Linked DNA regions of Arabidopsis thaliana. The protein of the gene in region 2 interacts with the protein of the main gene of each other region in a biochemical or structural test. Each region holds a gene or a part of one and is shown on either strand. Other genes may lie near its edges.

Region 1 (8,591 bases), on a different chromosome or scaffold from region 2:
GGAATTCGGATTCTTGAAAGACCCGATAAAGAAGGCGGAAACGAAGAAGGAGGGATAGAGGAGAGACTGAGGGAATTGAAGAAGCTTTTGCCAGGTGGGGAAGAGATGAATGTGGAAGAAATGTTGAGTGAGATTGGTAACTACATTAAATGTCTTGAGTTGCAGACGATTGCTCTCAAGTCCATTGTTCAAGATAGTACTTGACTTTTAGTTTAAGTGTATAATTTATAGTTTGTTTCATGTTTTTTTTGTTGTCTTTAAACGAAAATCATCTGTGTTTTTTTTTTTCTCTTGATTTCTTTAAGAACAAGAGCATGTATTATAGTGTTTTTCTTTTTTCCTTTTCTTAATTAATCATGGTTACCGAAATACCTAAAGTACCACACATGGCCGTTTATACGTACATCTTATAAAATTCGATCAAAATCTGATTGAAATTTAAATTATTGGTTGTAATGCCAAATAGACGATGTGCTGCCTAAAATAAAACTCTTATGTTGTCTTTTTTTCCTGAATTTATTATTTTAATGTTATGAGCAAATCTCCAAACTTTAATATTCTAATCATTTTAACCTGACAAACTTTGTGTTTGTGTATATATTTATATTCCTGCAAGTTTTTTTTCTCCTTTAGCGAAAACATATGAACTTTCGACTACAAAAAATCAGATGTAACAAATCTTCAATTAAATAAAAGCTACACATTAGTAGAGATCACCAATATGTTCCAGCTGCAGTAACTACAGGTGCACCATTAAAATGTAAACAAAAATTAGGACTACTGGACTAGAATTACTTTCCAAAAAATTCGATGAATATGAAAAACAAAACGCCGAAATTGTAAATATCTAAAAAGGAGGAAAGTTGGATGACATATGTGTAAACTATGAAAGTCATAACATTGATTTGAAGTCATCATCCATATCTTTGCACGTGTCTCACAGTCACTCGCACGCATCCAAATCTCTCTATTTCTCTTAAGATTCTAGCCGTACTACTTCCACACAACTTGTCTCATGTCATGTTTTTAATGGCATTTTTAAAGGATAGTGTTATTTAATTGATTTGGTTTCAGTGAAAAAAAAAAAGAAAAAATTATGGTTATTTCCCTTCTTTACAACAAACAAAATTTGATTTAAATAAGCAAATTGTTTGTTGTCCCTAGGTATAAATAACATTTAGGTACTATATATAAAAGTAAAGAAGCCGGAAGAAAAGTTGGATTACGAAAAAGAAGAAGATTAAGATTACATAGGCTCATGGAATAAGAGCAAAGAAGAGAATGTGCATGTGCCAAATGCCAAACACAAAGGCATGCCTTGTTTCTTCAAAAGAGCAAATTATGCAAAAGTACATATTTGAGAAACAAGAACACTAACAATAAGGTTTGGGAAGAGTTATGGCAATAAACAAAGATCTCTCCCTATGTGAATAATAATCATAAGAGGTGGTGAAGAAAAAAAGAAGAAGAAGAAGACAAAACATGAGAGGATCGAAGATCAGTCATATGTTTGGTTTTACTACACAGTGTAGTGACTGGGAGTTTCAATGTCCAAGCCCTTTAGCTTCACGACTGATTCCACATGTCCCTTGAGTGTGTGCAGCTCCCTAAGCCTGTTTAACATATAACAATTCAATTAGTGTTTAATTCCAACAAAAAAATACACTTAGATTAAAAAGAATCGTGTGTGATCGGATTTATTACCTAGCGATCTCAGCTCTTCTCTTAGCTTGCTCAGCGATCTCAGACAATTCTCTGTAACTTCCTTTCTCAGGGAAGATGTTAACAGCTTCTTTTGGCTGTAAACCGTGAAGTGTCCTTTGAGCAAGTGCCCATTGAGCCTCTCTCTCTTCTTTTCCGTAATCTTTCTTCATCGTGAAAGCCGTCTTGTTCTCAAACAAGTTGAGCCACGCCTTTCCGCTCAAGATGTATCGAATGGCAAACTTGAAAACGTCCAATGGGAAGTATGTGACAATACTGTATAGCCAGATCACACCAGCCCATCCCCATCCAATACCCCTAATCTTTGCAAATTCCCAGTTGGCGTAAACCGCAATCAAAGTAGCAATCTGCATTTGGAAGAATGAATGGATTTAACGGGTGCTTCTTTGAGAACCTTTTTACCAAACAAGAATTCCCTTAAAATGTTGATTTGATGAACTTACCAGTTGTGCAATGAGGAAAGCAATCATCAGCAATGCTCCAGGACGTTCAACAAAAGACCAACTCCTTGATCTTGTGACGAAGATCAGAGCTTGACTAATGATACTAACTTGTAAGTACACCGCACCCATTAGCTCGTGGTTATTGTCCCTAATGGACCTCACACCGAATGTGTCCTGTGAATCCAATGTGAAATTTACTTTACAACTCTGAACAAGAACCTAAGAAAAAACTTCTGTAAAAGAGAAATTAATTAGCTCAATTGTATGTACCGAGAAAAAGTCAGTCTTGTGCGCCGCCCAGAAGAAAATAACAGTCATGATGGCCTGGTAGCCTCCTAGAACGACTCCAGTAGCAAAAATTTCTTTAAGTTTCCAGCTATCAGGTGTGGGAGATGGCTTAACTCTGTCCTTTGAGATTGTCATGATGGTACCTATAAGATCAAGATAGCAACACAATACCAAAAGATATAAGTAAACATTGTAGAAAAAGTAAACAAATTTTGAGGTTTATACAAAAGGACAGCCATTGCTCACCGTCGTTAAGAATGGCAATGATCAGAACCATGAAGGCTGAGAAGTCAAATTCCCATATCAAAGCAATAAGCATGAAACCAAACTGCAAAAAGTTTCAACGCAATATGATCAGCATACTATTAATCCAAGATAAAACCAACAAGGGCCAGAACTCAAACGGATTTATTTGCATACCACAATACGGATGGTGATTGAGACTGCATAGATCTGTAACAAGAGAGAAAAATAGAACAGAGTAATTAGTTTCAATTGCAAGCAAGCAAGTGGTTGGAATAAATTAAGGATGAAAAATAGGAGAAGACGCACAGTATAGTTCTTCATTCTCTGGAAAATAGCTCTGCTGGTGAGAACAGCACTGATAATAACGCTGAGTCCAGGCTCAGTGAGCACGATATCTGAAGCACCACGAGCAGCATCTGTAGCATCAGCAACAGCAATACCGATATCAGCTTTCTTTAGAGCAGGGGCATCATTGACACCATCACCAGTCATTCCAACAATATGCTTCCTCTCCTGCAACTTTTTCACAATTTCGTATTTGTGCTCTGCAATAAAAAAAACAAAGCTTAGAACTAACATCACCACCTTTGCAATGAACATATAGTGAGGTTTATAATCCAAACAATAAATAAGCAGATTATAACCTGGGAAGACTCCGGCAAATCCATCAGCCTTTTCAATCAACTCCTCAACAGGAATGGATGCGAGGTTTGCGTCTTTGTGTGTACCAAGAAGAGCCGAAGATGGATACATGTTTGTTCCCATTCCAAGTCTGCGACCAGTTTCCTTACCAATAGCAAGTTGGTCACCTGGCCACATATGTGTTCAAGAGAATGTTAGGGGGAACTTGTGAAGGTGTATAGCTAGCACAACAAGATAGATGGGTAGACAAATTTACCAGTGATCATCTTGACGTTAACACCAAGATTCAAAGCCCGTCGAATTGTTTCAGCACTGTCATGTCTTGGGGGATCAAAAAGTGGCAACAAGCCAACAAATTCCCATGGCGCACCTGGGCTTTCCTTTGTTTTCTCTGGCACCACCTACAAAAGGGAATAAGAAGACAAACAGTTGAACATTTGTTACCACTGAGAAAAGAAAAGCAAAAAGGGACTGGAACTATCAGTATTAATGGCGAATAAGTACCTGGCGAGCAACAGCCAACGACCTAAGACCACGCTCAGCATACTTGTCAATAATGGAGAGCACCTTCTTGCTAAGATCATTGCTGGCTTTGGCAAGTTCGAGGATCTGTTGGGAGAATCAAATCAGTATAAAAAAGAAAGGTAAGAAAAAAAAAGGATTAGCTTGTAAAATTAAGATCCATCACCTGCTCAGGAGCACCTTTACTGACTCTGTGCCAGTTACCACTGCCGTCAATGTAAGTCAAAGCAGTTCTCTTATCCACAGGGTTGAATGGAAGGAAGTGAACTTCCCTGATTCCAGCTCTAGCCTGTGAAAATCCCAATCAAACATCAGAACATGTTTCTTGGACGCTCAGTAAAACTACAAATAACATGTGAACCAAAAAGGGTTATACCTCCTTTGGATCAGCAAGCATCCCAACCATGGCTGCATCAATGGCATCCTGGTTCTCAACCCTGGAAGCCATAGCTGCAAATAATAGGACTTGATCTTTCTCCACACCCTTGCAGAAAACCTCGACCAAGTTTTTGTCCACACTCAATTTGTTGAGGGTTAGTGTCCCGGTTTTGTCACTGCACAGGACATCCATTCCTGCCATCTCTTCAATGGCAGTCATACGCTTGGTGATGGCACCTTGCTGAGACAACCTGTGAGACCCAATAGCCATGGTCACGGACAAGACTGTAGGCATAGCAATGGGGATACCACCGATCAAGAGGACCAAAAGGTTGTCAATTCCATCTCTGTACTTTCGGCGTTGGATCGGATACATGACGATGATCTCAATCACCATACCGATAGCAATGGAACAGATACAGAAGTTCCCAATGGCTGTAAGAACCTTCTGGAAATGTCCAACTTGGTTAGTGCTGTCCACAAGGTGAGCAGCTTTACCGAAGAAGGTATGAACCCCAGTGGCAATAACAACCGCCTCGATTTCTCCTTGTTTGCAGGTTGAACCAGAGAAAACTTCTTGACCCGGGTGCTTGGTTACAGGAAGGGACTCTCCAGTTAGAGCAGATTGGTCAACCTTTAAAGGATCACCTTCAAGTAGACGGGCATCAGCTGGGATAATGTCTCCTAATTTAATGCTAACAATATCTCCTGGGACAAGAATAGCAGCTTCTTGTTCACTCCACTTTCCATCCCTAAGAACCTGAAACAGAGAAACATCACAACAAGAACCAAAACATTAGCTCTAGGGAAAATTCAGAAAGTTCTGTATAACAAATTCACACCATTCATTCTCTTATCATATATATACCTTGGTTTTAGGAGCAAGACCAGCCATAAGAGCAGCAGCAGCATTACCAGCATTGTTTTCTTCGATAAAACTGATGGTAGAGTTGATAACCAACAGACAGATAATACCAACAAAATCCTGCCAATCCGGAGGCCTACCATCACCGTTGGCCAAAGCAATGGCCATGATTGCAGCCATTTCCATGACCCATGAAAGTGGATTCCACATAAACCCCAAAAACTTCAGAAGTTTGCTTTCCTGTCAATTTTCATTGCACAAATCACCAAACACTCAGTAACAAAAAAAAAGGAGACCAACTATGTATTTTATCTGAGAGCTACAAATGCAAAATCAGACCTTTTTCTCTTCGAGCTTGTTGGGGCCAAAGATCTGAATCCTGTCCTCCCCTTCCTGCGTTGTCAATCCTTCCCTTGAACATTTTAGCTGCTGGAAAACTTCCTCAATCGGAATTTTTTCCTGAAAAAATCAAAAGCAAATTCGATCAGATGACCAAATCCAAACAACTCAAACTTTCACATACACAAAACAAGTTTCTAAACCTTAAAAAGGAGAAACCTTTTCTTAAGTAAAACAGAAAACTTTGATGATTTTGTAACCGTAGATAAATCTACTCTGTTTCATAAGTACAATAGTTGGAAAAAAGTCGTTGACTAGTTCGGTGACAATGAAATATTTTTGGCGGGGGGGAAATAGCGGTGGTGAAGTGGGGACCGCCACCACCGACCAACGTGATGGCGACGTGAAACACACGCGCCGAAAGATTCCCCTCACTTCCCGGCGTAAAAATCGAGGCTTGGTCGCGTAAATACAGTCCAAAGTTATGTAAAAGTAGCATTTTAATAAAAAAGATTCAAATTATTGTCCCAAGAAACACAGAAAAGAAGTTACGTCTGCACAAAAGATGTGTTCTTTTTTGTTGGTTGCTAAAGACAGAGAAGTTAAACGTACCACGGAAAGGTACAACCAAAAAAAAAATCCGAACTTCGTGTTAAGTAACAGATTTGATTAAAGTCATATTTATTTTTTCTAAATACCACCAAATAAATTCTTACTAGTAACCAAAAAAAGAGAAGACAAAACATTGTACAAGTAGGTTTGGACTTTATTGAGACGTAGCTAGCTCCACCACTGAAAAAAGAGACTCTGTTTTCTTTATCTTGTTTGTTTACTAGTATATCACATGCTTAGATCTACTTTTTTCTCATGAACAAACTCTTCATGTCCTCCAAACGTTTCTTAGACTTAATTACTACCCAGAAACAAAAATATAGTCTTTCTAAACAAATTTCACATATTCAAAACTAAATCGATGAAAATGTATATATAAAAAACGAAACCATAATGAGAGTAAGTAATAACCAAGGAAAGACTTTAAAGCCACCAAGTGGATACAGATCTACTCTCATTCAGGCAGATCATCGAACAGTTTGTGAGCATAAAATAAAAACAGAGGATAAAAAATGGTATACCAGATCAACAGTCTCGTTCTTGATATCTTCGAGACTCGACATCTCTCACCACTCCTTCACTGAGAAAAACGACGGCGAATTAGTACTCAACACGACAGCTTTGTCCGCCGTTTCACTCGATCATATGTATTCCGGCAAAATAGAGAGAAGGAGAGGAGGAGAGATTAGGTGGTTCTGTTGCAGAGTCGATACGAGTCCTCTTTTTATAAGCCACTAAAAACGACGATTTTCTCCGCCGTTTTGGCTATGTGGGTCCCATTACCAAGTAGTCTCTCTATATTTATTACCCTTTTTATTTATTTTGCTGCCTCTTTAAGTTCTTAATCACCCTTTGACCGTTGATTAATGTAATATTTTTGGCTTATGAACCCGAATCAAATTTGTATATATTTTGTGGGTCCTAATTACACTTTAATTATGGAATAATTGTTCATTTTAAACAACAAAATTTTCTACCGTTAATAATTCTTATTTTCTTTTTATTTTGAGATATTTTGATGTTTTATAGTAGTTTGAAAAGGGACTCTAAGGAGGAAGTAGCTTATAAGAGAAACTAATTTGTAATATCTCTTTTTTTAATTACTAGATCATAGACTTTGGTGTTTTTTTTCTTTCTTTTGTCATGAATCATTATATCAAGAAAGAAATATTTGGTGGAGGTATACATTGCTTGGATTTTTTAATTTATATTTGACTAAGCAACATACTACTTGCTGCTTAGCCTGTCCTCTTCTTCATTTTTCTTTTTTTTTTTTTGGACACCTATTAGGTTTTGTTTAAAGAAAGATATTTCTTTCTGAAAATTTCAACTAATACTATATTTTCTTAACAAAATCGTTTTCCAACTGGTTTAGGTTCGTTTTTTCTAAATTTGTTTTTTCGATAAGCAATAATGGGTTACTTCGGTTTTGTTTCCATTTTTTCTTTCTCAACCATACAAATACTTCTCCAAGCCAAAACACTTTAAATCTCTGAAATTTTGACAGAGATGCTTATAACAAAAACTACATACCTTGATTAAGCAGGTAAGAAAACTACTTTTTCTTACTATTTTTACATTATATCAGTTGGTGTGGATCGTAATTAGTTACGACGGACTAATTTATATAGTAGTAATTTGTAGAATAGTAATTTTAATATATATAGTTATTTGTGGCCCTAACGTTGATAATGAAAATATTGGCCCTTCCAAGGTGTGCCTCATGGCAAGGTCAGCAATGGGAACGATGTCACATGTTAATAATTGAATAAAAACCATAGTGTTAATTAAATTTGTTCCCTCTGAAGATATACTGAGAAATTGACTTTTGATTGTGATGGGTCCCCCAATAATACAAAGTTCGTCATTTCCAACTCCTCTACGTTTTAACTTCTTAGGATTCATGTCCTAATTAATAAGTGTTCAAGTCTAAACAAACGTCTCGTAAATTAGGTAAAGAGAATATGTACAAGATACGAAAATCATTTCTTGTCTTTTCTTTTCTTTTCACAAATGATGGATAGAAAAATTGTAAACAAAATGATTTTATTTATCACATTTTTTTATCATGGGGTAACAAGTTTTAGATTATTGTATACAGTAACATACTTTACATATATATCATACTATTTATTTGAATAAAATACAAAAAGACATCACTTATTTACAGTTTGCCACAATATTTCTTTACCAATATAATTTTGGTAATCTAGTAAAATAAGTTCACTATGTATTTAATTTTGCAGCTCAAATGAACCTTAACTAAATTATTTAAAATATAAGATATAATATATTATCATCTAGTTGACTTAAATGACTCTTACAAACACATTTAAAAACTTATCATGTCATATATATGAAGGAAAGAGGCAAAATTTGTCCTTAATGCACACTATACATATAGAAAAGAACATCTGAATAGCCATATATCATATAACTACTAGCATAGTCCTAAAATAATCAAGGAGTTTACAGTCGCATAGGTACATATATGACTGAAAAATGAAAAACCATTTTGTTGACCTCATTAGTAC
Region 2 (6,629 bases):
ACACCATCTGCTAATACAAAAAAATATCAAAAACATACTCTTCCATGTCTCCTCTTGCTTCGTGCATAATCATCAAAAGCTCAAAAATGGAGAAAAGAACCAACCTTGTTTACTACAAAAAACATAAGAGAAGTAGAAATACATCAGTAAATAGATATCAAAATGAACAAAGATACAATCTTAACAACAACAAAAACAACCTTGATTTGAATGGTGGAAATGCACCATTTGGATCTGCAAAAAACACAGGAACATGTACATAAACTTCAACAATCATTACTACATTTATAACAATTTGTGTCACAAATCATCAAAGATCAATCTTTGTACCTCTTCCAGGCACATAAACGATTCCATTCCCGGAGTTAAAATTAACACCGGGATTATATCTCTGCAGAATATCCGCCGATACACCGGAAGATCTCGCAATAGAACTGAGACTGTCTTCAGGACGAAGCGGATACGTAACAAACAAACCAAAATCTTTCGAAACACTCTCATCACCACAAGAACAATTCACCAATACATTAAGCGTCGCAGAGAGAGGTATGTTAGTCGCCGGAAAAGGATTCCTCGCCTGTAACGACTCCATCGTCGTGAGATTCGCGTAATTACTAATCGCGACTCTTTCGTAAGTATCTTCCTGTCGAACACTGTAGCTGAAATTGTGCCCTAGGAAATCACCAGGTTGACATTCGCAAGGGAAAGGTACAAGAACCCTAGAGCCCATCTGGATTCTATCTTTGTCTTTAATGTTACTGTTGTACCTGAGGATTGGATCGAAATTGATTTGATCGTAAGGCGCGATTGAAGAATTGAGGTTTTGGTTGATGACGGAGAGTGTTGTTCCGTTCTCGAGATAGTACGAAGCTAGAGCTAAAGGACAGCTAGTCCTGCACTTAGATTCCACGGCGAAGAAGAATGAGAAGAGAAGAAGAATCGGAGCGATTAGAGAAATCTTTAGCTTCATTTTGAAGCTTCCTTAGATTCCCCAGAGGAAGGGTCTCTGTTTTTTTTGTTTCGTCGTTGCTCTGTGGGGAAGAAGATGGATTCAAAGACGAAAAAGGTTGACTTAATCAAACGTTGACTATTTTTTTCAACTAAAGAGAATGATGATTACTGATTAGTGTTTGTTAATTGTTGAGAAGTTTCTTAATTAATTAATAATACTAAGATCATTTAATGCAACTAGCAGCTGGAATTTGAAAGTCTTTGGTCAAAGACAAAAACTATGAAGACCGCCATTTCTGTTGAAGGAAGTAGATTTTACGTTCGAATTTTGTATGTTTTTTGTTAAAAATTTATTTTTTTGGATCAAAATATAAAGTTACTTTATAATCGAAAACAATAGAGACTATTTTTTTTTCTTATATAAAATATTTTTCAAAATTCTCACTAATAAGAAATGGGGGTAGATCTTTCACGTTGGTCTTTTAGAGTTGAATTGTTACCCTTCTTCATACATTAATCTGCTTTAACTCTGTGGCGTCGAAAGATACGGGAGAAAAGGGAAACAAACCATTGCCATAACACTATCAACCAAAAAAGGCTCTTTGACTTAGCACCACCTTCATCTTTCCCTTTGAATATTCCTTTGTACATTTCTTTCTGCTTTTGGTACAAGGCTTTCTCTTGCTCTGCAAGTGCTCGTAGCTCTCTTCTAATCGCCTTGTCGTCAGGAGCATACTTTTGTGCCTTTCGGAAATCATCACGTGCTGAGTCCATCTGTCCTAGCTCTGCCTTTGCTTTCCCTCTTCTGAACAGTGCTTTTGGGTTTTTCTCTTCTTCTGTCAACACCTGATAAGGTTTTGAGTTTGATTAGATTTCGAGAAACCGAGTATGAACTTTAATGATTTTCTTCAAATGAATGGTTTGATGAGTCTTACAATGTTGCAGTGACCAATTGCTTCATCGTATCGTTTTAGTTTGATGAGGCAAGCTGCTATGTTAAGATGGCATGGGTTTTTAACTGCTAAAGCCATATCCTGGTACTTCCCATACAGCTGAAACATAAAATCGTCCCCCATGTATGCTATGGCCTGAAACAGCAAAACCATGACTAATCAAAAGCCGAAAGAAGACACAAGAGCCTCGAGCAGACTCACTAAGTATGCCTGAAAACCTAAACTTTGACCGTAATTGTTGGAAAGAGAGATAGAGATAGAGAGAGATGCATAACCATTTCATACTGTTGCATGGCTTCCTCCAGTTTCTCCTCCTTAAAAAGAGAATTCCCATCCATTTTTCTTCTGTCTGCTGCACCAATCCTTTCCTCTACAGTCATATCACTGCGAGCTTTTCCCTGTTCAATACATCATCTAAGTCAGAGAGGTAAGCAAGGAGGTTGGGATAAAGCTTGGATGTGGAGTCGTCTTGGTAAGGAAACAAGATGATGGTATAGGAAATAACTTACCTCCTTTGTTTCATCAAACCCAATAACTTCCACCTCATATAACAAGTCTGCCATAGGTGGAACATTCGGAAAAGAAAAGTTTCCTTCTTTCCCATAAGCTAATTCCCAGCCAACATGCACAAGCGCACGTTCACCAGACTTCATGCTAGCAACACCGATGGCTAAACCGGCTAGTTCTTTTTTCTCTGTCTCACAGACAACATTTCACTCTTAGTGCACAATCTTTTTTATAAAAAAAATTGTATAGTGACGTTAAAATGGGCTAATCAGCATTGAAGCAAAAAAAATACAAAACTCAATCTTTTTTCCTCCCAAATATCCATCTCATTGGGTTCATATAATACACAAGCTAACTCATCAAATTTACCAATGACGATTCATCTAACGAAATGGAGGTGTAGAGTACATATTCGACAGCCACATACCTTTTCCAAGAACCAATTCAATAGGTTGCTGCTCATGCCATGTATCCTCAAATTTGTGCTGCGAGTTTTTGGTCCATGCCCTGTAGTGCACTATGGCCAATATGAAATTGGTCAGATAGAAAGATTCAAATAAACAGTAGCAATAGGCCAACAAGTGCAATCGAAAAATCAACATCCAATCAACAGAAAGCTAAAGGGTACTTACAAAAGCATGTAGAGTACTTGGATGGTTTGGAACCGTGACCTTCCTTTATAATCTGCTTACTGACTTTCTCATCCAAGACCTCAGCTTCACTATCAACTTTAGGAGGAACATTACCCTCTTGAGATGGCTCACTATGCACAACGGCACTTCCTTCAGTAACTATTTCGCTCTCTTGGTCTGGAGCCACAAAAGATGCATTAGTCAACCCCAATAGTCATTCTCAATTCTTAACAAACAGAAAAGGAGTTATCAAGTCTAACAAATTTGTTGTATACATGCTTTGTTCCAAGATTCACAATATGATTTAGAAAGAATAACGCAGTCAACATAATTTGATAGACATTTATCCTTTAACAAAGCATCCAATTGAATATGGGACAACAAAAAAACTCCAATCAAACATATTGAAGTCATATATATGTATTCAGAGAGATTAAATCTATGAAAATTTACTTACCATGTGTTTGAGTTTGATGCTCCAGAGATTCATCCATTATTTCCCAAATCAACCTGGGTCTGAATAAAAATGTGCAAGTGTCAATCCAAAAATTGAATCTTTAAGTGTTGAATTGATTAAACATCGACCAAATCAGACAAGTAAGATTCAATGACAAAAACCCAAAAGAACATAGTCGAAGTCAGCTACTTGAACCATTTCATTTCAAAACAAAATCAAGTCTCGTCGTCAATAATAGCAGAAAACGAAGAAAAAGTTTGTCAATTTAGAGAAGAGGAGAGTGAACTTACGAAGTATGAGAAGCTCAAGAGTAGTGTGACTCGTCGTCGTCGTCGAAGTCACTCACGAAGACTGGATCGACCGAGAGATAAATTTCAGATTTTGATTCTGAAAATATAAAGAGACCCTTCGACTTTTCAGTTTTCACTTCAGAGTCAGCCGTTAACTAACGAGAGTTTTAACGGCGTTTATTATAATTCAGTAAAATAATATCAAATATTCTCAATTTGACCCAAAAGATTATAATTTAAAAAAATAATTATACAGTCGTCTCTCAAGAACCATTTCTATAGTGACCACAAATATTTGTTACAAGTACATAGTAACCTACGAGAGCCTACTACGACCCTGTGGACTCAGAGCTGCTTGTAGTAAGATTGACTGAGGACACAAATCTTGGAACCAGTACTGCCTCGTTGGTTACAACGGTCTTTGAAGTAGCTAAATCTTCTAACCGTTGCCATGTCCTTTCCCGTTTCGCTTTAACCTCTGTTTTATTCACTTCTTCTACTTGGAATTTGGCTAAACACTCGTCGAAAAGAACTTGGTCAATCTCGCATAATACTTTCCTCACGTTTATAGTCAGACTTTGAACTGCTTGGTTCCAATGTCCACGCGTGTTTCTCTCAAGAGCTGGGAAGACTATAGGCATTATCACTTTATGGTTCTGAGTGATCAGGTTTCTTATGTGATCGTTGTTCCATAGAAACAATGCTCTTTCAGCAACCTGACAAACAAAAAGTACAACTTCATATATAGGTACAAGACTTTATCAAGAGAGATAGATATGAAGTTGTGATGATAGTCAAAGACTCGAACCTGGAAATGTGAACTGTTGAGGCATCGAGCAATTTGTCGGGATAATGGAACCATACAACGTTGAAACTCAGCGGCTTGAGTTGCTTCCAAGACTTCTTCTAACTCTCCAAGAAACATAACTTCCTTTGAGCTGTTAGTCACAGGCCAATATTTTAAAAGACCTCTAATAACGGTATCAGCGAGCTTGAAGTCCTTTTCTACAAACTGAACAATGCAATACGAAAGCTGTTGGTGATAGACTGATGAACATTTAGGCTTGTGGAGAGGAATCAAGGCTCGCAAAAGGAAGAGCTTGTGCTCTTCTTTTAAAGGCAAAGCAAAACCATTAATTATACTTCCAAGAATCTCTAGCAACTCCGCAATGCCATTATGCTTTTCAGTCTCGGATATGAATCTGTAGAAGATATTGTTTATCGCCTTTCTGATGTAAGGTCGATGCACCATGAACTTCCCGTACACCCGATGCAGAATAGTTTTTAGATATTCCCTCTCTCTTTGATCTTCAGAATCAAACAAGTCTAAGAGCTTCAAGACAAAAGAATGGTCAATATATCTCTTGGCAAGCTTTGCATCAGTCATGGGAGAAGCCACGAATCTGAGAAGAATCTCATACACAACTTGAACATGAGGCCAAGCTGGCTCCAAAGAAGGTTCTTCATCATCCATATCATGTATTTCAAGAATTTTACTCTCGTGATTCGCAGAAGGAAAAGTTCTAAACAGATTAACCGCTACCATCTTCGTTAACTCTTGCATCGAAACATCGTTAAACTTAAAACCAACTGATGCAACATAATCAACAAGCTCAAGCAATGTCTGCCTCTTAATCTCTTTCTCCTTAAGGTTCTTAGACGGATCACTAAAGTCAAAAACAACACAGCACATACTCAACTTCCCGATAAAGAGATTCGGTTTCTCCGATATAGGAACATCTCTAAAGCTAGGCAAAGCCTCATAAACCCCACCAGAAGACGGAAACGGTCCAGCTTGTACAACAGCATCTCCTCCCAATGGTTTCTTCCCTTGATTAGTATTCCTATTAGAGCTCATTGAGTTAGGAGCAAGAGTTCCATTAGCTACACGCGAACCCGAGGCTGATGATGATTTCGAAGATGTTGAAGAAGGTTTAGAGATACTAGTAGTACTCGAATTCGAAGCATAATAAGAATTATTAACACCTCCTTCACCATTGGAGTCATTCTGCAATGATTTGGAAGGCTTTCTAGGTAATTTCCCAAATATCTGTTTGATCATTTCTAACTATTGGCACAAACCCTTCACTACTATTACTCTCTATAAGAACCAAAGCTAAAAACCAGCTGTGAGTATGTCAAAAAGTCCCGAACTTTATTGTCTAAACAAAACCAGATTTGCCTCTGAATCAAACCCTGAACCCAAAATTACATAACAGAATCAGATCAAGCAAAACAAAATCTAACAAACGAAATAAAAGGAGAAGGGCTTACATTTTTGAGCAGAATTAACCCCGAGAGAGAGGAAATCAGAAGAAAACCCTAAGAAAGTTACAAACTTTAGGCAAGAGGGATCTAGCTGATAAACCCAGGAAAGACAAAAGACCGCTCCTTTCTCGCCCAAATTGAAATCGAGCGAGAGAGAGGAGAAGAAAAGAGAGAAAAAAAAAAGACAACGAAATCCAAAAGAAATATGTAAGAAAGAGAGAACAAAAGAAAAAAAACAAATGTTGAGATTATAAGGTTGTAATGAACAAGAATAGAAGAAAGTAATCGTTTTCTTCTCTCCTTATCCTTCTTTCTCTCTATCTGGATATTTACTGTAAATCTAAATCCATTTAAACACTTAATCGTTTTGCTCTGAATCGAATAACAAACCTGGAACATCCAGATATTTTCTAAAAAAATTTATTGTTTTTTTTTATAAACATCACAGAGACACACACACATAGGTGGAAAGAACAGAAGGAAAAATCAATAAACATGGACACGCACGGTTTGACAGAATGGCAGGTGAGTCAAAAAAGTCAAAACAACCCTGAAAAGTAAACGTTTTACA
Region 3 (8,286 bases), on a different chromosome or scaffold from region 2:
AATTCATCATCCGCAACACCTTGATAAATGACTCTTCTAACGCTGTTCCTCTTTGGATTAGGAATAGGCGTAATAGACTTGAATATCAAACGGATCGAGGTGCAAATCTCATCTTGATCTATACCATTTCTCTGCTTGCGCATGTTTTATCTTCAGAGCTTTTCTTATGTCCCACTCCCAGTATCCATCTGTTGCATATCTTTTCATTATTTTTAATTTGCATTTTCACGGTGTTCACAAAAATATAATCTAATCTTACAAAAAAAATCTTGCGTTGATTTGTAAAAGTTATAAATGTAGTTCAAGTTCCAGTATCCATGCTACTTTACATAAAAAAAAAATAAGAGTAAAAAAACCTTGGTGACATTGTTAAACTTTTATTAATAGAAAGTGGGGAATTCCAGTACTGTAGCTTAAATTATTGGCCTTCTATGAATTTCTCAATTAGTGAACGACATGTGCCGAGAGGAGCTAGTGCTTCTTCTTCTCCACCACTATAATTTCCAAGTTTGTTCATAATTAAACACAAATTTATTTGCATTCAACAGCTAAAACAAAGTAGTCATCATCATCATGGTGTGTGTCCCATATGCATATATGTGTGTGTGGTCGCACGCGTGTGTTGCACAAAGAAACGAAGTCAAGAATTGTTTTGTTCATAAAAAGTTATATAAACACAAAAGAAATGTTGTCTTTTCTTTCTTTTTTTCATTATTGTTTTAGCTTTGGGTCTCATCATCTCATTCAATGTCCTTTTTGGACCCATCTTCTTTTTCTCATCTTCTGTTTTCTCATCTTCATAATTTTGTTCCCCACGTATGTTCGTGTGTCTATACATCTAAAGCATTCTTTTTGACAATATTGTCATAGTTAATTATTTATATGCTTACATTACTAATCATGATCTAGTATAAAAGCATGATGTACACACAATAGATTTTAAAATAGACCCACAACATTCGAGACCCATCACCCATCTAACCAATACAATTAAAAACCTTAAAAGATTACATTTTCATCATATACCATAATATTTCTTTTAGAACGGATCTCATGATTGAAAAGTTAGGCTTATCCTGAAATCTAGAACAAGACCAAACCAATATATATGGTAACAAGTGCCTCGATGATTATGAGATACATACCTCTCATCATCACCTTCTTCACTTCACTAGAAAGGCAGAGGCTCATAGATTGATATGGCATATAAATGGATATTACAGAGGTGAAAAATTAGATTAATTATGATAATACACAATAATAATACTATACCATCAAATCTGAAACGTAGTTCCAAAAATAAGTAACCCCAAAATCAAAACAGAAAGAAAAAAAGAGAAAATGATGAGTTCGTAGAGTTTTTTATCAGAAACATCTTCTGGTGTTTGTTGTTTTTTACTCTCCTTCTTTTTTCTTCTATATGACCAAAGTAGTAAGTACTAAGCATCATCTTCCTTAACCCTAGAACTTGAACCTGACGTCATACCAATCACTTGTGTATGCGTAAATCTTTGCAACTGTATCATTCGCGCGTAGATTCCATCAGGATGGTTCTTGAGAAGATGCGAATGCGATCCTTGTTCAGCCACTTTTCCATCATCGATGACAGCGATCACGTGTGCGTTCCTGATTGTAGATAGCCTATGAGCCACGACTATTGATGTTCTACCAGAGCAAGCCTGGTCTAATGCTTCTTGGACTGATCTCTCGGACTCTGCATCAAGAGCGCTTGTAGCCTCGTCAAGCAGCATGATCTCTGCTTTCCTCACGAGGGCACGTGCGATCGCGATCCTCTGTTTCTGTCCTCCCGAGAGCTGAACGCCTCTCTCGCCAACATACGTTTTGTAACCTTCTGGTAGCGCGGATATGAATTTGTGCGCACTGGCTAGAGTCGCGGCTTGTATGATCTCTGCTTCGGTCGCACATTCATGTCCATATGCAATGTTTTCGTAAATGGTAGTTCCGAACAAGCACGGCTCTTGAGGGACTATGGCTATGTGTTTCCTTATGGCTTTCAGGTTGTATTTCCTTATGTCTTTCCCGTCGATCATGACTCGGCCTGAGGAAGGTTCGTAGAATCTCTGGATGAGGGAGATAACTGAGCTTTTTCCGCACCCGCTTGGACCCACAAGAGCTAGGGTTTTGCCAGCTCTAGCACGAAGGCTAAGGTCACGGAAAATCTGGATGTCTGGCCTTGAAGGGTAAGAGAAATCGATATGTTTGAGCTCGACTTCACCACGTAACCGGTCTGGGACCGGGGTGGTATCAGGATCATCAGGTTCAATCTCGGTTTTCCGGTCAAGAAGTTCGAAAACAGACCGCATAGCTTGACCACCTTTGATGAAATCAGGAGCCAGTGTGAGTGTCTCTGCTGCACCATTGGCTGAGACCATCAGAACCATGAAGACTCTTATGGTTTTGGAGAAGTCAGAGATGCCGTGTTTCACAAGCCATGATGCGTACCATAGCCCGAGAGCATAAGATGCATAAAGACAGAACTGAGCTACACCATAACCACTTCCAGCGATCTGTCCTTTCCAGAAGCATCGTTTCAATGGTGGTTCGAGGTTTGCAGTGTAGAGACGGACAATCTTTGCCTCCGAGTTAAATGCAGCAACTGTCCTGACATTAGCTATGGCTTCACCAGCAAGCTGCGTTCCCTTGGCATGTGCCGCTTCCAGGTCTCCCGAGAAACCAGTCATGAACATTTTCTGTTCAAAAGACAAGACAAAGTTTCAGATCCAAGAACAACAATGAGAGCATGCACATGCTTTAAAAGAACACAAACCTGTAAGACAGTTGCAGCAACAACTACGGGGAAGACTGCGACAAGGACAAGTGCGAGTCTCCATTGTAGAACAAACCCGGCAGTGCAAGCAACAAGCATCAGTGCTGTGTTCTGCACAATAACCGATATTCTATCTCCTATCGCAGATCTCACATTATTAGCATCAAGAGCTAATCTTGCTGCGATTCTTGCACTTTCGTTCTCCTCTTGATCAAACCAAGCCATCTCATTCTTGAGTACAGCGCTCAGCATCTTCTCACGGACTCTCTTGGTCAGATTCTCACCCACAATGTCCCAGAAAGAATGCTGGAGCGTGTTGAAGACAAGTGCTGCGGAAGAGAGACCGATTAAGAGATAACAGTACTTATCAATCTGTTTGATCATGTATTCGTGGTCCGGGTTGTAGTAGACGCTTAAGACTGCACTGAGGACATATGCGAAGAATGCACTAAGGGAGCCACAAATGACAGAGCCTACTGAACCGAGCAAAGCGTATTTCCACTCTGGAGAGTTCATTTTAGCTAGTCGCCAGAATGAATTGGCTTGATCCTTGAAGGCCAGCTTCTCGTTTCTATAGTTTGGGTAGGACGAAGCGTCAATGGAGAGGCTAAAATCAGAAGTTGAGAAATCGGATAGTCTCCGTGAATAAGGTGATCTTCCATACGACGAATTCCGAGTCATTATTGGCGAGCTAACCGAGTTTCTAGCACTCGACGGTCTGCAACAAATAGATTAACATCAGTAACCCAAAAAAAAGCATCATCAAAACAAAAAACAAACACAAAATGAATAAGAGTATACCTTGCGCTACTCTTTCTTGCATTGCTCATGGCGGTTTCGTGAGCTGCTTCTTGCATTTTAATTAGCTTAGCATAGACTCCATTTTCTCCCTTGGAAAAAAGCTCATCATGCGTTCCAATCTCAGAGACACTTCCTTGCTGTAGCACAGCAACAAGGTCAGCTTTTCGAATGGTAGAAAGGCGATGAGCAATGATGAGAGTAGTCCTTCCAATCATGAAACGATCCAAAGCCTCTTGTACAAGCTTCTCTGATTCAGAATCCAATGCACTCGTCGCCTCATCTAATAGAAGTATCGCCGGGTTCTTCAACATCGCTCTTGCTATCGCTATTCTTTGCTTCTGCCCACCAGACAGCTGCAATCCTCTCTCCCCAACCTGACATTATTCACATTTACCACATGAGTATAAACAAACATATGTCTATCTGGATTAAAAATCCATTGGAATAGTGGTTGCTGGTTTTCAAGTTAAAGTAGCAAGAAAAAAAACAAGCACATGAACACTAAAAAAAATTCAACATCAAGACACATGACTAAAACTACTTGTCTGGGTCTCACATGCGTTGTTGACCAAACCCATGTTACTCTGTTATAAATGCTTTTCCATGACCATACCTCTTCTCTCTTTTGACTCTTTCAAAATACCTTAAACTAATGAATAATTGAAGAAACAAAAGAACACAGATTCACATAAACCATCAGACCTGTGTGTCGAAGCCATCAGGTAGTTTGATGATAAAGGAATGAGCATTTGCGACTCGAGCAGCCTCCTCTATCTCGACTTGATCTGCGTCAGGACGGCCTAAGAGTATATTCTCCTTGATAGAAGTGGCGAATAATGCAGGTTCTTGACTCACTAGCCCTATCTGTTGCCTTAACCATCTCAGTTTCAGCGTCTTCAGGTCTTGCCCATCTAGTAAAACTTGTCCTGCAGAGACGATAACACCGTGTTAATTAAAATAACAATGCTCGAACAAAACAGCTTGAAATGTAACAGAATGTTAAGATTGTTAACCTGAGTTCGGGTCGTAAAACCGCTCTATAAGCGAAACGACTGTGCTTTTTCCTGAACCACTGCTCCCAACCAAAGCAATGGTCTTCCCAGCAGGAACAGAGAGGCAGAAGTTGTTAAGAATCTTAACATCTGGCCTTGACGGATACGAAAAGTCCACATTTTTAAGCTCGACAAGACCCGTGACTGAGTCTAACTCCACACCGGACTCGCTGTTACGCTCTATCGTTGGTTTGTGATCAATGATTCTAAAGATCTTTGCAGCAGCAACCTTTGCTTTGGCAAATGCAGCCATGCTCGGTGCTGATTGTCCCAATGCCCTTTAAACAAAAATAAAAAAACTCATCACCATCAACAAACCAATATCAAACCAAATGATAACAAGAGTGATGAACAGAGAAGAGCAAAGAGTTGCTTACAATCCACCAATCATAACGGCGAACATTGTGGCAATAGCGAGACCACCGTTGGTCAAATGGTGGCGAACTAGATAACCACCGTACCAAAGCAAGAGAGCGTAACAACAAAAGACAACGAAGTATGTAGCACCAAGTCCCATTCCTTTAGCTAAACCTGTTTTGTAACCAAGCTTCTGAGCAATCTTCAAAGCTGATGAATAAGCTTGTGAAGCTCTTGATTCTCCAACGAAAGCCATCACTACCCTGATTTGTACCACTGTCTGCCATTTTTTTCAGAAATTGAATCAGACCCAAAAAAAAACCAGATGATAGAATGATCTGATGATTACTGGATTTGACAAAAATAGAAACTTTATTTATTTATTTCTAGGGATTTGTGCACTCTACCTGTTCGACGATATTACCAGCTTGTGAAAGAGACTCTTGACTCTTATTAGATAGTTTAGAGAGAGTAGTGGTGTGAATTCCTCCGATCACAGCAATCAACGGAACCACCGCGAGAGTCACTAAAGCTAGTTGCCACACCGCAGTGAAACCCACGATGAATCCAGAAACAAAAGTCGCCATGTAATGGATGAAATTACCAAGCTGAGATTCCCAAAAAAAAACAGATCAGATAAGGAAGAAGAAACAAAAAGACTAAGAATTTGAAGATTCTTACTTTCTCACTAATGGCGTCTTGAACCATAACAGCGTCGGTGTTAATGGCGAAGACAACATCTGAAGTTCGAACTTCTGTATCAAAGAACTGAATGTCTTGATTCAAAGCTGCTTCTAAATACTTAATCCTCATCTTCGTTGTTTGTCTCTCTCCACTCCACATCCAACACGAAATCTCTGCAACAACGAAACCATATTTAAAACCGAATCAGATCAAGAGAACAGTATAAAAGTTTAGATCTTTAAGTAACTTTCTTCTAACCTGCCCAAGAGGAAGCCCAGATTGCAGCACCAACCACTAAAAAGTAAAGCGCATACTGCAATAACCAAAAACAAGTTAGTGTTTTCAAAGATTGAAGATGAAGAGAAAGAAATAAAGTTAGTACCTTGAGAACTTCTTCCATCATCTTTTCAACGTTATTAGAATTAGAACCAAAGGAATTAACAAGATCGGCGAAGAATCGAAGAAACAGAGGTAAAGAGCAGCCATGGACAAAAGCACCAACAGAGCCAATTCCCATCAATACATAATCTAATCCGTCGGCGAATCTGAATAGCTCTTTAAAAGCAACTCCACGAATCTCTGCTTTCTTAGGCTCTTCCACCACTAGTGTCGGCGGAGGAGGAGGAGCACCACCGTCATTATCCATTTCCGGTGAGTTTCTCTGGAGCTTCGTGAGTTGTTGTTGGTGTTATGAGGGAGAAGCTCAAGGCCTTGCATTTCGGACCAACGCCATTGTTCAAGTGACTTAATTTCTTCTTCTTCGTCTACTTTTTTCTGATCAGATTGTTGGGACATTTGTGTAGATGTTTTCTTACTTTGCTTTATAGAGAACCTCAAAAACCACAACAGCCCTGAAGAAAATTAATAAATAAATAATATACTATTTTTTAAAAATCTTATTTTGTTTTCTTATTAAAATAAAATAAAACTCAAGACTATAAAAATCGAATAGCTTCTTCTTCACAACACTTATTTTTATAATCTTCCATCTTCAGTTTTCTTCCGCTCTATATGCTTTCTTTAATACTTTACTAATCCCACTCTTCATTTGTTTTGATTTATTTCCTTATTTATTAACGTTTTTTACCGTTTTTTAATTATTAATTATGTATAATTTGCGATTAATCAGTCAACTTGTGTACTGGCCAGTCAATTTGTGTATTTATTCTCTTTATTACCAACTTAAAAAATTTAATAGAATTACCAAAATTTGGATTTTCGTGTAGTGATTTTCAGCCCACGCTTGATGTTTTTATTTCCTTTTTACACATTTGTTTCCATGTTCTTGGAATCGTTTGCTTTTTAGTGGGTTTTTATTTTGTCACACAAAAAAAGGAATTAATACTTTAGTAAATTGTTATTTTTTTTTCTTCGGTTTCTTGTTGCGTAGAAAACAAAGAAAGTGACAGATGATGGAAGAGAGAGAGATTGATGGAATCCGACATAGAACACTGTTAGAAATTGGAGATAAGTTTTTTTTGACTCCCAACAGTTTCTGCTCTTCATTGGTCTCAATAATCTCTCTATATATCTTTTTTATAAAATCAGGGAAAAACAATAATAATTACCGTGAGGTGCAATGATAAACGATAATCACATTAAAAAAAAAATATTTAGCATCAAAAACAAAAAAGAATATATATATAATCACTTCTTCTATTTTTTTAGACCAAATTTGGTAGGTACAATTATTATCGATTATGATTGTTCGTTAGATCTTGGAAATGTGTACAGTAGTTATAAATCATGACACCAACTACAGAAAATTACTGGATTAAAAGTTAAAACCATTTTGTTAAGTGGTTTTATTAAAATGTATTGGCAAATTATAGATGTGATTATTGTTGTGTAGGATCTAATTAAATAAAATTACATTCAAAATGTCAAACAGTCAACGTTTACAAAACTGTGGATGGATTCATACACAAGTTATAGGTACCTGCAACTTCTGTTCGGTTGTTTTTAAACTATTGTCTGAAAGTCTTAAGTGTGAAATATTGTTACAACTACAAGAGAAATGCACCCCAAAAAAAAAAACAAATCAACGATTAAATGTTACACCTACAATTGCAACTAATCATATAAGAATTTCTATATAAGTTTATTTTTCATATAGATAAACAAATCTCTTTTGCTATTTTTAATCAGTGTTTTTTTCTTTGAGAGTAATAAGCAAACTTTGGTAGTTGAGTTTTGTTGTACATTGAATTATTATATGATAAAGTACAATTGTATTTTTACTATCTCAACTTTTTTAGTAGTAGTTTGTTTTGCCTTTTCTTTTTGGGATATCACATTCCAATGAGCCCAAGTGAAGAAGGGTTGCTCTGCGAGTGTGTAAGAATATATATATGTTCACACAATAGTTCCCTTTCCTTTAATTATGGTCTCAACTTTAATTATTAGATATTTTCTAATTGTATTAATCACAATTATAAAACATCATTAACAAAATAGAAAAATTGGGGTTCACATTAACCTGGTGAAGAAAAACGAATCTAACCGGTTTAGTTTAATTTAAATGGAAAAACGAAAGTCGTGATAGTGAATTATTTATGTGATTATTTAATTAAAAAGAAATAAAATCAGAGTCAGAGTAAGACA

The links. Proteins that work in one complex are often made in the same cells at the same time.
Region 1: the proteins of TWD1 (region 2) and HA2 form a complex in vitro, tested with the Arabidopsis thaliana proteins (one study listed by BioGRID).
Region 3: the proteins of TWD1 (region 2) and ABCB1 form a complex in vitro, tested with the Arabidopsis thaliana proteins (one study listed by BioGRID).

What each region holds. Positions count from the first base shown.
Region 1 is NC_003075.7:14,769,301-14,777,891, forward strand, and holds HA2 (H[+]-ATPase 2), read right to left. Parts: upstream 6,759-8,591; 5' UTR 6,621-6,758; coding exon 6,579-6,620; intron 5,566-6,578; coding exon 5,446-5,565; intron 5,347-5,445; coding exon 5,110-5,346; intron 5,002-5,109; coding exon 4,240-5,001; intron 4,153-4,239; coding exon 4,030-4,152; intron 3,951-4,029; coding exon 3,846-3,950; intron 3,743-3,845; coding exon 3,598-3,742; intron 3,509-3,597; coding exon 3,006-3,508; intron 2,907-3,005; coding exon 2,874-2,906; intron 2,782-2,873; coding exon 2,700-2,781; intron 2,597-2,699; coding exon 2,436-2,596; intron 2,340-2,435; coding exon 2,166-2,339; intron 2,070-2,165; coding exon 1,705-2,069; intron 1,614-1,704; coding exon 1,520-1,613; 3' UTR 1,265-1,519; downstream 1-1,264. Other genes in the region: AT4G30180 (uncharacterized protein), read left to right, coding at 1-204. UniProt on the Arabidopsis thaliana protein: The plasma membrane H(+) ATPase of plants and fungi generates a proton gradient that drives the active transport of nutrients by H(+)-symport. The resulting external acidification and/or internal alkinization may mediate growth responses.
Region 2 is NC_003074.8:7,617,561-7,624,189, forward strand, and holds TWD1 (FKBP-type peptidyl-prolyl cis-trans isomerase family protein), read right to left. Parts: upstream 3,918-6,629; 5' UTR 3,791-3,917; intron 3,560-3,790; 5' UTR 3,538-3,559; coding exon 3,501-3,537; intron 3,221-3,500; coding exon 3,044-3,220; intron 2,929-3,043; coding exon 2,839-2,928; intron 2,599-2,838; coding exon 2,414-2,598; intron 2,303-2,413; coding exon 2,180-2,302; intron 2,040-2,179; coding exon 1,887-2,039; intron 1,798-1,886; coding exon 1,465-1,797; 3' UTR 1,291-1,464; downstream 1-1,290. Other genes in the region: CERK1 (chitin elicitor receptor kinase 1), read right to left, coding at 1-7, 105-112, 201-234, 331-970; AT3G21650 (Protein phosphatase 2A regulatory B subunit family protein), read right to left, coding at 4,120-4,506, 4,599-5,852. UniProt on the Arabidopsis thaliana protein: PPIases accelerate the folding of proteins. It catalyzes the cis-trans isomerization of proline imidic peptide bonds in oligopeptides.
Region 3 is NC_003071.7:15,500,204-15,508,489, reverse strand, and holds ABCB1 (ATP binding cassette subfamily B1), read right to left. Parts: upstream 6,765-8,286; 5' UTR 6,329-6,764; coding exon 6,065-6,328; intron 5,996-6,064; coding exon 5,941-5,995; intron 5,856-5,940; coding exon 5,680-5,855; intron 5,607-5,679; coding exon 5,406-5,606; intron 5,279-5,405; coding exon 5,019-5,278; intron 4,920-5,018; coding exon 4,603-4,919; intron 4,516-4,602; coding exon 4,292-4,515; intron 3,964-4,291; coding exon 3,590-3,963; intron 3,507-3,589; coding exon 2,789-3,506; intron 2,712-2,788; coding exon 1,440-2,711; 3' UTR 989-1,439; downstream 1-988. UniProt on the Arabidopsis thaliana protein: Brassinosteroid exporter that, in conjunction with ABCB19, supports the accumulation of exogenous brassinosteroids (BR) in the apoplast, thus promoting BR signaling initiation involving the specific receptor BRI1 and required for plant growth and stress responses.